2 linked regions of the Yarrowia lipolytica genome follow. The protein of the gene in region 2 purifies or fractionates together with the protein of the main gene of each other region. This does not show direct contact. Links are inferred from orthologs where the notes say so. Each region holds a gene or a part of one and is shown on either strand. Other genes may lie near its edges.

The links. Proteins that work in one complex are often made in the same cells at the same time.
Region 1: the proteins of YALI1_B09333g (region 2) and YALI1_D35126g purify together in Saccharomyces cerevisiae (affinity purification with western blotting; 3 studies listed by BioGRID, with this or other methods). This does not show direct contact. The link is inferred for Yarrowia lipolytica from reciprocal best matches to the Saccharomyces cerevisiae genes SEN2 and SEN15.

Annotation. Positions count from the first base shown.
Region 1 is NC_090773.1:3,507,931-3,515,788, reverse strand, and holds YALI1_D35126g (uncharacterized protein), read right to left. Parts: upstream 3,251-7,858; coding exon 2,927-3,250; downstream 1-2,926. Other genes in the region: YALI1_D35148g (uncharacterized protein), read right to left, coding at 1-690, 799-1,059; YALI1_D35143g (uncharacterized protein), read left to right, coding at 1,586-2,737; YALI1_D35119g (uncharacterized protein), read left to right, coding at 3,917-5,110; YALI1_D35096g (uncharacterized protein), read left to right, coding at 6,232-7,554.
Region 2 is NC_090771.1:929,735-938,322, forward strand, and holds YALI1_B09333g (uncharacterized protein), read right to left. Parts: upstream 3,665-8,588; coding exon 2,636-3,664; downstream 1-2,635. Other genes in the region: YALI1_B09299g (uncharacterized protein), read left to right, coding at 221-973; YALI1_B09310g (uncharacterized protein), read left to right, coding at 1,283-1,412, 1,538-1,773; YALI1_B09316g (uncharacterized protein), read right to left, coding at 1,827-1,915, 1,963-2,113; YALI1_B09320g (uncharacterized protein), read right to left, coding at 2,121-2,287, 2,350-2,581; YALI1_B09367g (uncharacterized protein), read right to left, coding at 6,199-7,059. UniProt on the Saccharomyces cerevisiae protein: Constitutes one of the two catalytic subunit of the tRNA-splicing endonuclease complex, a complex responsible for identification and cleavage of the splice sites in pre-tRNA. It cleaves pre-tRNA at the 5'- and 3'-splice sites to release the intron.

The DNA of each region.
Region 1 (7,858 bases), on a different chromosome or scaffold from region 2:
CTCGTCTTCCTCTTCCTCGTCCTCATCTTCGTCCTCATCTTCGTCCTCATCCTCCTCCTCCTGCTCGTCTTCATCTTCTTCCTCTTCCTCGACATCTTCCTCGATCTCCTCCTCGGCAGCCGCCTTCACTTTTTTGGTGCCTTCCTCTTCTGACTCCTCAGACTCCTCATCCGAATCCTCGTCTGAATCTTCGTCAGAATCCTCCTCATCAGAATCGGTATCGTCGTCCTCCCCGGAGCTAACGTAGTCCTTCTTGTTCTTTCGAGCACGCTCAATCTCGAGCTTCTTTCGCCAAGAGTAAGAGTTTTTTGCGGGCTTGGAAACCTTGGCCAGGTTCTGGAAACCGAAACCACCACCAGCCTTGGGTCGCATGTCAATGAATGAGCTTTTGTTCTCCTGCTCTTCCTCTTCGGCCATTTGCTTCTCCTTTCGCTCCAGCTCAGTCAGGAGATGAGAATGCTTCTCGTCATCCCACTCTTCGTGATCGTGTTTCTCGTACAGAATCTCCTTGGTCTCCTCATTACCGAGACCCAGTTTCTCCAGACGCAAAGCTTCCTCGATCCGGGCTTTTTTGGTTTCCTTGTCACCCATGTGTTTCATAGACTTGAGCTGAGATGTATCAAAGGTGCCCTTTCGAGCAGCAAACTCGGAAAACAATGCCTTCTTCTCTTCTCTCTTGAGTTGTTTTTCCTGAGTTAGTATGTAATCATAAGCGCAGCGAATGTCCTTGGTTCAGCTAATCTGGTTCAGCTAATCTGGTTAAGCTAAACCTGCGACGTATCCTCGTGTCATACTCACAATGTACTTGTCTAGACGCTTTCGCTTCTTTGAAGTCATCTTGCTCTCCGTAGGTGTGAGCTCTTCCTGGAGCTTTCTCTTTCGAGCCTCCTTCTCGGCCTCACTCTTGGGCACCATGAGCTCGGCATTGGCGTCTTCTTCCTCCTCCTCTGCTGTAGGCTTCTTGACCCAGGTTTTCTGCTTGGCGGCCTTGAGCTCCTGCTGCTTCTTCAGCGAGCCGGCTCGGGCCTTTGCGTTGTATCCTAGCTTGTATTTCGCCATAGTTGAAGCGATGGGTTGAATCAGCTTCACGCAGGTTATGCTATATTGCCCAATTTTTTCTGATTGTGCATGATGTATGCGCGGTCATGTGATGTGGCTGTTGGGAGGAGACAGGTTCTTTTTCTATAATAACTTGAAGTAAATGTTCACGTAATATATGTTTTTCTTTGAGAGTCTCAGTTATAAACCAAACTGCAGTTCACATAATTATAAACAATAAAATTTTGGTTCCCAAAAATTGGCATCGATTTTTGAGGGGCGAAAATAGTACGAGCCGCAAGTGAGGTGGTCTCAGTAGAAAAATGAAAGGTGTAATTAAAAGAGACACATTTATATTAAATGATGGTTACATAGTGTGCACACTGAGCCCTAGTATGTTATACACCATTCTCGTTAGTAATTGCTCTACAAGTAATCTATTACACATCCGCCTCATGGGTCTTTAAGCGCGACGTTGAAGCGTGCATGACTGTTCTGTGGTGACGAGAAACGAAGTCCTTCAACATAGACAACATCTTCTCCTGGCATGCCAACACTAATGCACGACGACCCCTTGGACGATGAGGAGGAAGAAGAGCCTCCACGAAACATTGGACGGGTGGTCTTTGGCCCTCGTGAATTCGACACGTGGTACCACTCGTCGGCATACTATTTTTCACAGAAGGACGAACTCAAGAAGTTGACCTGGAAGCGGGCCATGGCGTTGATGGAGGCCAAGGCCCTCGACAAGGACAAGGACAATCACACCTGCGACATGTCCCGGCTCTTCATTGAGCGCTACAGCTCTCCGTCTGTTGGCACACCTGGAGGAACCTCTTCTGCATTAACATCCTCAACCATTTCGTCCTCTGGATCATCAGCAAACGCATCTGTGGCCCCCAATGACCAACCACCAGCCCAGGTCGACTTCCAGGTCAAACAGCTGTTTGTCTGCGACTCGTGTTTCAAATACTCGAAGGTCTCCAAGGACATGGCCCAACACCGAAGCACCTGCAAGTATGTGTTCAAGCACCCCGGAGAGACGGTTTACAAATCGAAAGACTATGCCATTCGCCGTGTTGATGGCGCCGTTCACAAGCTCTACTGCCAGAATCTCTGTCTGTTCGCGAAGCTCTTCCTGGACCACAAGTCTGTGTTCTTCGGCGCCGATGCCTTTGAATTTTATGTTGTGCTCGGCAAGGATACCGCCAGCAGCAGGCACTTTAAACCCATGGGCTTCTTCTCCAAGGAGAAACTGTCGTGGGACGAAAACAATCTGGCTTGCATTCTGGTATTTCCTCCGTATCAAAGGCGAGGGCTGGGCAAACTGCTGATCGAGTTTTCATACGTGCTGTCGAAGTACGAAGGCCGTAAAGGAAGTCCAGAGCGACCGCTGTCGAAGTTCGGCACTTTATCATATATGTCTTACTGGTGTACTACGATAGCCCGGTTCATCTTGATAGAGTGTACAGAAGACGTCATCACGATTGAGACGATCAGCGAACATACTTATATCCAGCCGGAAGATGTGATGCGAGCACTCAAAGAAATGCATGCTGTAGTTCTCTACAGCGACGAAAAAGCCAAGAAGGTACAACTGGGAGGACGGGTTTTGAAGAAATCTGTTAGACGTTGGGTTAACAGTGGCAATGTGAAACTGAGCCCTGTGATTGACGAATCCATGGTGTTTTTGGAGTGACAAAGATGGAAGTTGATGTTACAGTCAAGACCTATTTAAGCCGCGAGCTACAGGTCTTCTGGCTGACTGGGTGCTACATTACTATGCCCCAGACCATATTGTTTCATGTAATGTACATATATTTATAATGCAAGGTGATAATGCCTGGACCGGGATCATAACGGAACAGGGTGTATAATAGTTGTGAATCTAGTTCTTTCGAGGCTTGACCAGACCCTTGTAGACGAAGTAGTAGACGATGGTGGAGTCATTGTCCACGATGGCCATTAGCATGCGATCGACGTCTTTTCCAGCCACACCCTCAGCCTCGCGAAAACACTCGTCCCACTGCTTGATAGTCCAGTCGTCGTTGGATCTGGCAGGTACTAGCCATTCCGATCTGATCTCAGCGTCATCAGGGTGCAAAGTCCTGGGTGGAGTTCCATGCACCAGGTCTGTGAGCTTAGTCTGGTGGATGACCACGTCGCTCCACAGATGCTGATGAACAAGGTTGGTTCTTATTTGTTCAGCCATGGTGAATGTGTGATTGATAGTGGTTGTTTTGTTCAGTATCTGTGCCAGTCGTCTACCACTAACTTTTTCTGCTTACTGTGCGTCTCAAAGTTTCTGCGGGCGCGTTATCTCCGTCGGATTTAATTTTTAACGGTCCTAGGAAAATCTGCATATGCTGGAAAATACTCGTGTTTGGGAGAAGACTTGGGTGCCACCAAAAACCTGGATTAGGCTCAGAACTCTACAAGTCCGGGAAACGTAACACTGAGATACGACTGGCGAAAGCGAGGCGGCGGTAAGTCCGTGAATATAATGCTTATTGACCGTTTGAGGGCGTTTAATATGTTGATTCACTGTTATGAACATTTTTGCTGCTCGAACGCACGTTTTACGCCTCCAAACGCCCGACTTTTCACCCGTTTCTCCTCCCAGCCGTACAAACATTCTGCTTATACTTCATGTATCTCATTTTTTGAGCTAAATCACGCATCAGGTTTAAAAACACACATCACCCTCCAACAGTCTTCCTAACACACCTGTGAAGTCACGACCATTTTCGCCACCGCCTAAAAACACGTTGAAAACAAGAGTATTTGAGCTCAGCATCTGCCCTAGTGCCCCCCAAACCCGCATTCGCACGCTACATCGCATAGCCTCAACACACGTGTAACACTACTGTACACAACAATGAAATTCTCGGTACTTCTTCTTGCCGGAGCCGTTCTGGCGCTGCCAACAGCTACCGTGGTAAACACCGAAGCCATCGACTACTCGACCATCACAGATTTGCCCGGATCCGAGCCCACAGACGTGTCTGACCTCGAGAAGCGAGCAGACCCCTTTAAGCGACCCCCCAAGGTGTTCTCCAAGAAAACTAAAATCACAAAGGCCCATGTGACCAAGCCGTGGCTGCTGAAGCCCACAGATGGAGGTGAACCCATGCATGTCACCCCCACCGTCTGGGGAGACGCGCTTTTCCGAGGCCAGCGACAGGTGGGTGCTGTTCCCAACCCTTGGATCAAGCTGAAGAAGGACGGTCAGGCCAAGACCATCACTCCCAAGGTGGTCAAAGGAAAGACTAAGAATGCTCCTCCTGAGTATGGAGACTGGTTCCACGTCAACCGAGACGTGACTGAGAACGCTCGTTCTGCTGGCTACAAGACCGCTCACCCTACTGATGTCGTGGTCCACAATGAGATGTTGGACGAGGAGGATCCCATCGAGGCCTCCTTCAACCCTGTTGAGCGATGCACACCCGAGAAGTTTATCAAGGTGAAGAAGCAGCGAGTTGGCCCCTGGTGCTCCCCTCAATACGGAAAGGGTGTCATGCTTGATCACGTCCACTGGTTCACCTGGTACACCCGAGAATTCCCCGACGCCGAGAAGGTCCGACTCCACTGCGCATACATTCAGGGTAAGGCTCTGCACAAGCGAGAAATTGAGGACAGCAGTGTCTTCCACATCACCGAATGGGTGTCAAACACCTGGGGAGTCTACCCTATGGAGATTGAGGAGGAGTGGCTCGATGGCGAGTACGAGCAGAAGGTTGCCGTTGCTATCCAGCCTGACTACATGGATGACGACGAGATCACCGATGACTATCTTCTGAAGAACTCTACTTTTGTGCGATTCCGACGAGGTGCCATCGTGCAGAAGAAGGACAAGGGACGACTTGATTTGGACAAGAACGAGGAGGGCATGATGATCACCATCATCACCATCCCCTCTGTTGTCGTCATTTTCGCCTGTATCTATGTCCTGTTCACACAGATCACTGCTGGAGCTCGGGCCATCCCCAAGTTCAAGAACCAGCGACGGCGAAAGGATGGCCGGCAGTACGAGAACATCAAGCTGCAGAACCAGCGACGACGACTCGACTAAATCAGTCTCTGACACTCTCACAATCGATAAAAAATGGTTGGTCCTCCTTTAGAATTTACCTCCCCTTGTTAGCATAATAATAATCCCGTTTCTTTAGCCCTCGTAGATACAGGTTGTTTCGTATATATCCCGTTGGTTCAACCCCACACGAGGGCACCATATCAAGCCGACTTTTGAAGACTTGGTGGAGCGAGGTCCACGAAGCCAAGACAGATACAGGTCGTACATACATATGTATATACAGTCGATATCTTATACTCAGACATGTGTCGTTTGTGTTCGATGTACTGACACAACTAAGGGTTATACTGGTTCGTGCCTGGACTGCATGCATAACCGTTGTATAAAGTTGTGTCTACCAAGCATGTGTTCCGTTTCCCAGACAGATTGTTTGGGGTTTGGGGCGGTTGGAACTTGGTCGGAGGTTATATAGAGCGCATTATTGGAGGCTTTGTGTTGGATTTATGGACCCTTTTCTCTCAAATTACCGTTATGACGCCACCCAGATGAGTAAGCATGGCGACAACGTTCTTTCCTGCCCTGTAAATCCACACGTTTTCTGCCACCTCAAATTGAAACTCACTGTCCATCACAACAACCGTTTGCGAGATATACTTTGCGTGATTGGGGATATGGGGATATATATAAGGATTCAAGAAGAGTGTATTCGTACACAGCGGGTCCATTTTTATCTCGGTTTCACTTTAATTAACGGGGGGAGCAGCATTATTTCATGTTGTGTCTACTGGTAGCCCCGCGTTGTCTTGCCTGGCTGCAGCATTTTAATCTGCGCAGAAAAAAAAAAAGCATCGTTGTTGGGAAAAAAGACGACGCACAAACCGAGCTTCGTGTTACAGTAACCCTGGATCGTGTGAAGAGGCACGTGTAGCAAAAAACCAGACGCACAGAGGGGAAATCAAAACGGCTGAGTCAGCTATTTTTATTCCTCGCTCAAAAGAAGACCATTTTATGGTGCCGTTGGGGTAAAAAAGTCGTCTAGTCATTATGCTGACCAACCTCCATCCTCACCCATGCATGCCAGCGGCTGTGCATGATTATAACCTTCGTAAGCACACCATCTGGAAGAACATCACCAGTCGCTCAACGCAACAACACCACACATGGAAAAAGACGAAGGGACGGGGACCCTGAGAGGCGCGACGGTCAAGACGGTGGTCACCGCGTCGATACCGTCGGAAGACAGCTCGAAAACCCTGATCACAGAACCTCTGAGGGCCAAACGATCCTTCAAACAATGGCTCTACCTGCTATCGCATGTGCTGCTCATCGTCTTCATTATCGGCTTTATGGTCGTATCTCCGATCGACATTATCACCCAGTCGCGACAAACCAACCAGTTCTGGAACGGCGCTATCGTCATTGCTGGTTGTGTCATCTTCATCTTTCTAGCATTACTACTTTCGTTTCTACGACTGTTTCGAACCCGACAAAACCTCTCAGATATCCCGCGACGCTACGTGCCTCGCCCAGACGACGTGCCCAAAAATATTGCCAAGGAGATCAGAAACGATTTGGACAGATGCAAACAAATCCTACGAGACACGAGACCAATAGAGAAGGTGGCCCATGACGGCCTGGCACCTCCTGACTCGTCAGGAGACATACCTCCAGACGTTCCGTATAAGGATGTTGTTGACACTACGGCATTACTGGTTGATTCGCGCGCCAGAAACATTCACTTTTCGTTTGGAAAACCCGTCGGTATGCCCTTCAGAGAGTACATTTCTCATCTGATATCGTGCCATGTTATTTCGGACGCAAACGTCGGATTACAGTTTGTCGAGCTCTACGAGAGACTTCGATTTTCCGGCAAGCCCATTTCTGCCCCCGAGATTCGCACATTTATCGAGCGTCTCTTGCGTCTGATGGAGAACATCGACTTCCCCCCGGAAGATGTTCTCTACAAAAACACCACTGCCAACCCCAGCAGTGTCGCAGGCACGCAGTTTACCTCACACAATCATCTGCTTCCTCCACCGGCTATCGGCAGTAAATCCAACGCCTCCGTTGCTCCTAACTTCCTGTCAGACGACCTGGCTGTGCTAACTACCTGGTCGAGCAACGTCAACAGTGAGTCACCTGTGCATCGAGGCTCTAACGCCAGGTCGGATGCTGAACATGTGTTGCAACAACAAAACAGCCACGTTCGTGCAGGTTCCATGAACCAGGCTGCTCATCCAGTCATCAACCATCCCTATCACTTTTTCACCGGAGGCGATCATCCCCAGAATGACACTGGTCTTTTTGAGCATCCGCTGTCTCGAAGCTCCACCCGTGGGTCTCGAATCTCTCGCTTCTCACCTGTTGGCTCAGTTATCGGTCCCGATGACTACTATGATGTCAGTCCTCGAGTGGCCCCTACTCATAGCAGCAGTGATGAGAGCTACGCTGGAAGTGTGATCATCAGGCGGGAGGAGAGCTAACAGCAACTAGCAACCAAACAACTAACACTGTAAACTACAGACAAAAAAAAAACGTCGCCATACTGGTAGGCGTTCCTATTTATTAGCATTTCCATTTAATAAACCACTAATTGCTCCATCTGAGCGTATTTGTATCACTATAACTATGAGTACTGTACTTGAACTGTATGTATGTACAGGCGTATGTACTGCAAGCACCGTGTACCCAAGAACGACGCATATCTACAGAAACCCCATATATCGTTAGCAGTGGCTTGCTTAAAGAAACCACTTCATAATCATTACACTAAAGAAAAGCATCGAA
Region 2 (8,588 bases):
CTTCAACACGCTGAATATATCGGCGATAAAATAGCCGAAAGGGCCGATTTGCCCGCAAAACATCACAAAAACCATCTCAGGCGGCCATTACTCTCTTTGTCTCTTGATTTTCCTACCATTATACACCCACAAGCATTGTACGATACCGTACTCGTACTGCAGTTAGTGCCCATCCATTGCGCATCATGTCTTTTCCATCACACTCATTCAACCAACCATAATGACTCCACCCATGAATCCGGATATGGACAAGATTCTCCTGTTTGGAGACTCAATTACGCAGTACTCAAGCGACCAGGATCTCACCTTTGCACTCGCCCCGGCCCTTCAACATCTGTACCAGCGCAAAATGGACATTCTCGTCAGAGGATACTCGGGCTACAACACGGACCAGGCGGTCCAGTTTTTCCACCACATTTTGGAGCATGAAAAGGGAATCAAGCTGGTGGTGATTTTCTTCGGGTCCAACGACAGCGCCACCAACGAACAACATGTTCCTCTCGACCGATACAAGGCCAATCTGGAGAAGCTGGCTCAGCAGGCGGTGGACCGCGGTATCAAGGTGATCCTCACGGGTCCCGCGCCCCACGACGAACTGGCTCGAAGAGAAATGTTCAAGGACGAGCCGGGCGTGAACCCGCGGTCGTCACAGCTGCAAAAGAGGTACTCCGAAGCCGCCTGTGAGGTGGCTCTCAAGATGGGTCTTCCTAGCACTAATCTGTGGCACGCTTTTGCTACCGACGCTGGATGGGAGCCCGGAATGCCGTTTCCCAGCACCGTTGAAGGGGAGGGTAACGAGCACGAAACCTCAGTGACCAAGTATCTCAAGGACGGCCTGCATTTTGCCGGACCTGGATACAAGGTGTGGTACGATGAGTTGGTCAAGGTGATTGGGGAGCGGTACCCGGGGCTGAGCGCGGAGAATCTACCCATGGTGATGCCTTTGTGGAGGGAGTTTTACGGCACTAGTTGAACAACTTGGTTCGAACAAGCGATATTTATACTGGATAGACGTTGACAGTGGCACCACAAAGGTATACTGAATATAGATGTTAACGACGGTAGACAGAAGACCTTGATGATAGAACTGATGATGTGGGATGGTCAATTAGATGTCGAGAATATCGAAAATCGGTTTTTTTCGCCCTTTTGACATTTATCGGAATATTCCAAAAATACTCCAAAAATCAACTTAAATTCCTCCGTGATTGGGTTCGAGATGCACTACAAGTAGTGAAATACTGACGTGTCTCTACACCACCACCCGGTACCACACTCCAACATGCGACCAACAGTGATTTTGACATGTGCGGCGGCCGCGCACGCCCAGATTTTCGGCAACTTTTTCAACCAGATGCTCAAGAAGGAGTTTGCCGTCGAGGAGTCCTGGCACAACCAGGAGTATCACAAGGGTGAGTAGCTGAATGGAGTGAGAGTGGAGTGACCGCTGGGAAGAGCCAGGTTACCTATCAGATGGCCGTACAAACATAACCCAGACATGGCGGCTTGGTAATCAATCCATCATCTACTAACCCAGTCTCGTGTGATAACGGCCACGTATGCCCCGATACCCTCACATGCGTCAACTCGCCACTGGAGTGCCCGTGCCAGTTCCCCGCGTCGGAAATCAAGTGCGTGTATCCCGACAAGTCCGGCTACGTGTGCATCTCCAAGCCTGGCGACGGCTACGACGGATCTGACGCCTCCTCCAAGGCCGAGGACGGCAAGAGAGATTGTGCGTGGGTCAACAAGGCCTTTCGAGGAGAGCTCTAGTGTATTATAGAATAGAATGTATTTATAGAGAGATTGTGGGAGCGATTGTAAGTCTAGGAGGTAGTATGAATACGATACTGCGATGTCTTGGACGTTTCACCTACATTGATATGGACTGACAAATGTACAGCAGGAGTTATGACTTCAGCTCACAAATCGATGCCAACTATTCTCTACACGCCGTAATACATGTCCTGAAACCATCCCCAACAAGTGATATGTACATGAATAAATATTCGCCTGTAAACCACAGTCTAGATCGAGATCGATAAATCCGTTCTAGAGGGGTGGATGTAAGAGATCTCCGTGGATAAGGAACTATTGAGCTGAAGAAGTCCATACATATGTCAACGGTGACGATATACTGGAGGAAAAGAGATGATATGACGAAGGAACTGTTGCTTCTGGTTGAAACTAATGGTTACTTGTTCGATCTCCGTGGATTCCAATTCAGGATCTCTGGCTCCATCTTCTAAAGTACAGACTTGAAATTGGTGGCGCTTGTGGGTCTTTGCTGATTGGCGTCACGCCTGCGAGATTCAATGGGCAGTGACCAAGACCTTGGGTCTGTTCAACGGCATTGTTGCTGGTGGGGACAAGCACGGTTCTGGTGTGAATGTTGCTGGTGGAGTTTCTGGTGAAGAATGTTGCTGGTGAAGTTGCTGGTGAAGTTGCTGGTGAAGTTTCTGGTGAAGTTTCTGGTGAGGTTTCTGGTGAAGTTTCTGGTGAAGTTTCTGGTGAAGTTTCTGGTGAAGTTTCTGGTGAGGTTTCTGGTGAAGTTTCTGGTGAAGTCTCTGGTGAAGAACATTCTGAGAGTTCCGGCATATCCGTTCAAATCTCACTCTGTCACCCGCCACCGCCGCTAGTCCCGATTCCTCGAGGGAATCCACCGCCTATACACCACCTCTCGCACCTTGAACTGCTTCAACACCTCCACCAGCTTGGCATCATCGACAACGCCCTCGACCTTTGGCACATCCACAAAACAAAAGACAGTGGTCTTCTTGACTCCGCCAATGACTCGACACAGGTTCGACTGCCACCAAAAGTCGGGCATGGGCTCGTCCTTAGGCATCACCTTGATGCAGAACTCGGCATGGGTGAACGGAGGACCCTTCTTGTACAGCAGAAAGTCGGCTCCAAACTTGATGCCCGACCGAACGCACCAACCTAGCGATCGGTAGTGGTGGTAGACGGCGTAATAGGTCAGAAACCGAGGGTCCTTGCGGGTGAACTCGTCAACCATGGCCTTCACATCCATGTCGCCGACCTTGAGTCCAAACGCCATGTGAAGAAACAGCGCCTCCACGTCCATGAGCTGTAGAAACTCGATATCCACGAGGTTGCCCAGCGAATCCACCACCTCGTCGTCTTCCGTTCGTTTCTCCATTTCGTAAGACTTGGCGAGAAACGCGTCCCGATCAAACTCCGGACGAACAGGCTTGTCGTCTTCATTCTTGTCAGCCACCGCCAGACCCCGATCAATGTCCTGGCGTCTCTTGAGCTCCTCCTCCTCGGCCTTGGCTCGCTCGGCTTTGAAATGCTGCCGCTGCTCTCGTCGGAACTGAGTCACCTCTTCAGGGGCATACACCCCCTCCTCCACATGGAGACCCAGACGTCTCTTGGTTCGAATGTCCCACGAGGGCTCGGACCGAGACAAGATGCCCTTGCCAAAGAAGCCCATCTTCCACAGACCCTCGCGAGCGTCTCCAACGGCCCGAACTACACCATCAACATACTCGGCGGTATACTCTGGGCTTGTATTGCCGGCAAAGATCCATCTACAGAGAAAATACAACACCGAGATGGGATTGTGTATCACCGGTGGCACGACATCCACCACATACGGGTATGGATGGGGGTATAACGCGTTCAAGTTTTGTTTTTTCATTACACAAATTGGCGCTGTGCGAGCTCAACGACGGCGGACTTTGGTTAGTAAGGCGGAAAAAAAGGCAACAAGGGCAGAATCACAAAAATCAGATACCGTTGTAGTCTATAAGAAATCACTCTCAGGAGTTCAAGAAAGGTTTTCGATATCATCATGTCAAGAGGAAGAGCATTGTGCGCGCGACTGTGTGCTGTGCGCTGTGCGCTGTGCGCTCTCCCTGTTTGTGTCGGTTGGTACTCACCAATGGGCTCTGTGGTTATGACGACAAGGGGTGGATTTTTTCTGCTTTATAACTACCCACCGCGGTTACCCGGGGGTTGGGAGTTCTGAAATATGTGTGTAAGACTGGTGTTTACTATGGGGTAGGGAGGGGGTGTATAGGGCACGATAGGGTGGGCATTTTTGGAATTTTGAAATTGGAGACGGTAGCAAACGGCAAGGAGAACTTGGGTTTCAAAAATCACGTCTTGAGCTTCACAGGATCATGTTTTTCAGATGGGGTGTTAGTTGGCACTCTATAGTCTTAGCTCATAACCTATAACAAGTATGTATGATTGACATACAAGACGCCTGGAGCTCTCGAACGGGCCAAAAAAGAAGCCGACAAAAAGATAGGTCGTACCCGGACTCGAACCGGGGTTACTGGAAGTTAGCTGAGCTTTCGTCAGAATCCAAGGTGATAACCACTACACTATACAACCGAAAGTTGGGGCAAGGTTCGATAGGGGAGTTTTTGAGAAGGAAGGGAGAAAATTAAATCATATTTAGAATAAAAAAATCATAAAAAAGAATAAAAAAACATCCCATTTTAGGGAAGATTAGGAGGCGAAGGAGGAATACCGGAGTTTCAGCTTGATTTTTGACGGCGAGTAGTGCTAGATAAGACTTTATCTGGTCAGATTTGAACGTCTCTGATGTGTATTGATATGGGTCCATGGACTTGAATTAATTACTTGAGCATCAGTAAATAGACTCAATTGAGATGTGTCAGTCAAGTAAAGGCAACAAAAGTGTTTTCTAGTAATATGTATCTAGAATGATATTATTTTGTATAAAACTACAATTAATTTCTTAAATAAGTATATAGAGTGGATTTAGAGAGTTTTAACCTGATTATTAATGTATTAAACTACTAAAAAGAGTACTTTTACAAGTACGTATTCGGATTTTTTCAATTTCTTAACTAAACTTAAGTAGTATATTGATATCTTCAACTCGCCTAATAAACAACTCATACAAAGTCTTGAAGTTTCTGGGAAGTCATAATGATTCCAAAAATCTATTGGGACGTTATATAACCCCTCAACCTCCCGTTATAGACATTCTAATGCAACCCTGTTGGTCTAAATATGCCTGTATGTCGGCATCTAACCCCGAAGGCACCGATGGGATCTTGGGAGCCCGCTAATAGTGGTAATATTGCTCAATTGTCGCCACAAACCAGTTCAATTGACTCCAAATAGCCTGTGTGATTTGATTTCAGGTCGAAAAACACAAGATAGTTACCAGAATATCGAAGTAGCGAGCGCCTTCCAAGTTCTCCAATATGGCGAGCAACGAAACTTGACACGAGGAGCCCGGGCTCTGATACAGCTAGTTGGTCTATCAAAACACATGCTTGAGAACATGTGTGGGCAGCGCTGAAGAAGCTGGAGTCCTTGAACCTGACAGAGGAGATCCATACTCGGATCAGACGAGCGATACTTGGATCAGACAGACGATAGTCGGGTCAGACGGACGAGATCCATACTGGAATCCAACAAGAGAAAGCCACAATCCCAGAGTCCACTTGGGCAGCTTCTTGAAGTGTAGTCTTACTGGGCTGATAGCACCGACTCCAGATTATGGCAACGAATCCAGGTTGAAACCAGATTCAGAAAGCGATATTCAGACTAAGAGATTCTAGTCAAGAAACTCCGAGAAGATGAAAACTGATGGAGACAATCCGCGGTCTGTTTGGAATGTGCCAGGAAGAGTTGATGATGGCCATATTTCAGCTCGAAAATGCACATAGAATATAGAATCACTCTATCCATGGCAATGACCAGAAAGAGTGACTGAAGCCACGGGATTTTTAGTTGAGAAGATCTTGTATCGCAGACAGTCGATTGATTCTAGACAGTCGATTGTCAACTTCCACGAGTGCACGGGTCATGACTCAACTGTAGTACATACTATATTCAAACAGTAGTACAACATCAGAAGCCCTCTTCCAAGACATGAACTCGTATCTGATTTGTGAACTCGTTAATTGTTCAGAAGTTGTCTTCAGAAACCACTCCTAATTGCACATCAATTATATCAAAGCAGACTTCTTGCGTCTTCATAACTACAAGAGAAGTCGTACGTAGTCCACAACTACAAGAGAGTCGTACGTAGTCCCGGAGCATCTCATCTCATCAGATTCATTCATTCATCACATAGCAGCAAGTGTATATTTTAATTCCAGCTAGTTTGAATTGCACAGCGTCGCTCATAAGCATGAGCTGTGTTCAACCATGGCTCCGCTAATTCTGTCGATACTCGCAACGCCGTTAAACAGCACTCACCTTGGCGGTCTTGCTCACATCATCGTAGGCATCGAACCGTCGCTGAGTACCAACAGGGATGTTCTGTCGAGCTGCCGCCAACTCTTCAGGCTCAAGCTCAGCGTAAACCACGGTCTCGTCGACGTCGGCCTCGGCAATAATCTTGCCCAGAGGATCGGACACAAGCGAGTGGCCAAAGGCGTGGTAGCCCGAGTTGAGGTCCTGGGCGGGGGAGCACGCAATGACGTACAGCTGGTTGTCGACGGCTCGGGCTCGGGCAAGCAGATGCCAGTGCAGCGGGCCGGTGGTGGTATTGAAAGCGCCGGGGTAGATCATGGCAAAGGCGCCCTTTCGAGCGGCGGTGGCCGCCACCTCGGGGAACCGGATATCGTAGCAGATGCCCAGGCCGATCTTGCCGTAGCCCTCCATATCGAACAGGGTGATTTTGTCGCCACCGGTCAGGGTCTCGCTTTCCTTGAAGGTGATTTTTCCGGGCACGTCAATGTCGAACAGGTGCAGTTTTCGGTGCTTGCTGATAATGTCGCCGGAGGGAGAGAAGGCCACCGACGTGTTGTAGACCTTGCCAGCGTCGGACTCCGGGTATGAGCCTCCTACCAGGAATAGGTTGTGTTTCTTGGCCAGATCCGACAGAGCCGAGGTGGTTTCGCCATCCGGGATCTTCTCGGCGTATTTGGGGAAGGCCGACACGGCGTAGGGCGAGTTGAAGCATTCGGGGAGGACCACCAGCTTGGCTCCGTTTTTCGCCGCCTCCGCCACCTTGGTGGTCACCTTGGCAATGTTAGCCGCCTTGTCGGCTCCGGCGGCAAACTGGATCAGTGCGACTTTCAGAGACTGCTTGAGAGACATGTTTACAGAGGTTGTAGTAGTTGGTGAAGAAGAGAGAGAGAGTGCGGTGGAGATGTAAGATAAGGTGTGGGGTGGTGTGGTTAGGGTTGGACGGAACGGGGGTCAATTGGCTTGTGAGCGGCTGAAAGACGGCGCAAAAGGTGTTGTAGGGTTAGTAATAGACGGTTTAAACGCTTGGTTTCCCAATTGACCGTTTTTACGGCCCGAAAAGCTGGTTGAACCCTTCCTCGCGCGGCTCTTGTCTGGGTATAGACGGCTCTTGAACTCAGTTGTGGCTTGCAGAAGGGGGTGATTAAGGGCAAAGGGCGCAGAGTGGGGGCGAGTGGGGGCGAGAGTGGGGGCGAAGCCGATAGTCGGAGATTCATTGCAAAATTCATTACTTAGAAGATGGTTGATGTTGGAGTCGATTTGGGAGAATGAGGGGCAGTTCTGAAGTGCTACTGTGTGTTCAATATAAGTAGTTCCTTAACAGAAATTTGTACTGTAGTTAAAAAGTGAATAAGAAGGATGAAAACTCCCAACAGTATATCGACTATACTTGGGACGCTTAACAAATAAGCCAACTGGGGGGGAGGGGAGTTTATGTCCACCCACAATATGGCAATGACAGGTGGATATCAATGTAATTCCATAGTTATTGGTGTATTTGTAATTCACGAGTCGGGGGGAATTCATTGGTATTACCAACATTCCAATATGATATATATTAGTACTTTTTAGTGAATGGATCCTTGGGAATGCTGTTCAGACTTACCATTCTCAACTTGAACGGAGAATGAATCTCCAGAACCTCACCAAGTACAGTACCAAAACAGGACCATTGTAAAGACTTTAGCAATGTATAGTTTCAAAACGCGCATTGTACGAGCCTTGCGTCGCCTTCTACGGTTTATTTCGAGGGATTTATAAGTTTTTCTCGAAATCGCGGCTGATATGAGAGACGTCGACAATGCAGTAGTATTCCGGTTCAACGAGATATAGAAAAGTAGCCGGGACAAAAAGTGACTTCCACAGTACTGTAAAGTACTTTTTCCATCCTGGTTTCTCTGGTTTTTCAACTCCTCTTGGCCAATTGAGCTCTTCTCAGCTGTAAGAAGCTGCATTCTCTTTTCACCACAAGATAGACTGGTCCCCGGAGACCTAGACAGGGCAGAATTGGAGGAACAAGTGACCATTTTCGTAAGAAAATTCTGACAATGGAGCTAAACTCTCTCCGACCAAGAGTATTTCGAAGTCCCGGTGTCTCTACTACGTACGAAAAGTGGAGTGCACTGAGCAGAACGGGTAGGAACTCCTGCAGATTCTCGGACTACGACCTAGAACCCATCATAAACATCCAAGGAACTTCTGAAACCCATTATAAACATCCCAGGAGCTTCTGAAACCCATCATAAACATCCAAGGAACTTCTGAAACCCATCCTAAACATCCAAGGAACTTCTTAGGGCTCTAGAATGTTCAATTTCCCGATGATTAGACAGGTTTGTCGATATCATTGAAGAGAATCAGGGTCTGGAGCGAAGGGTCCC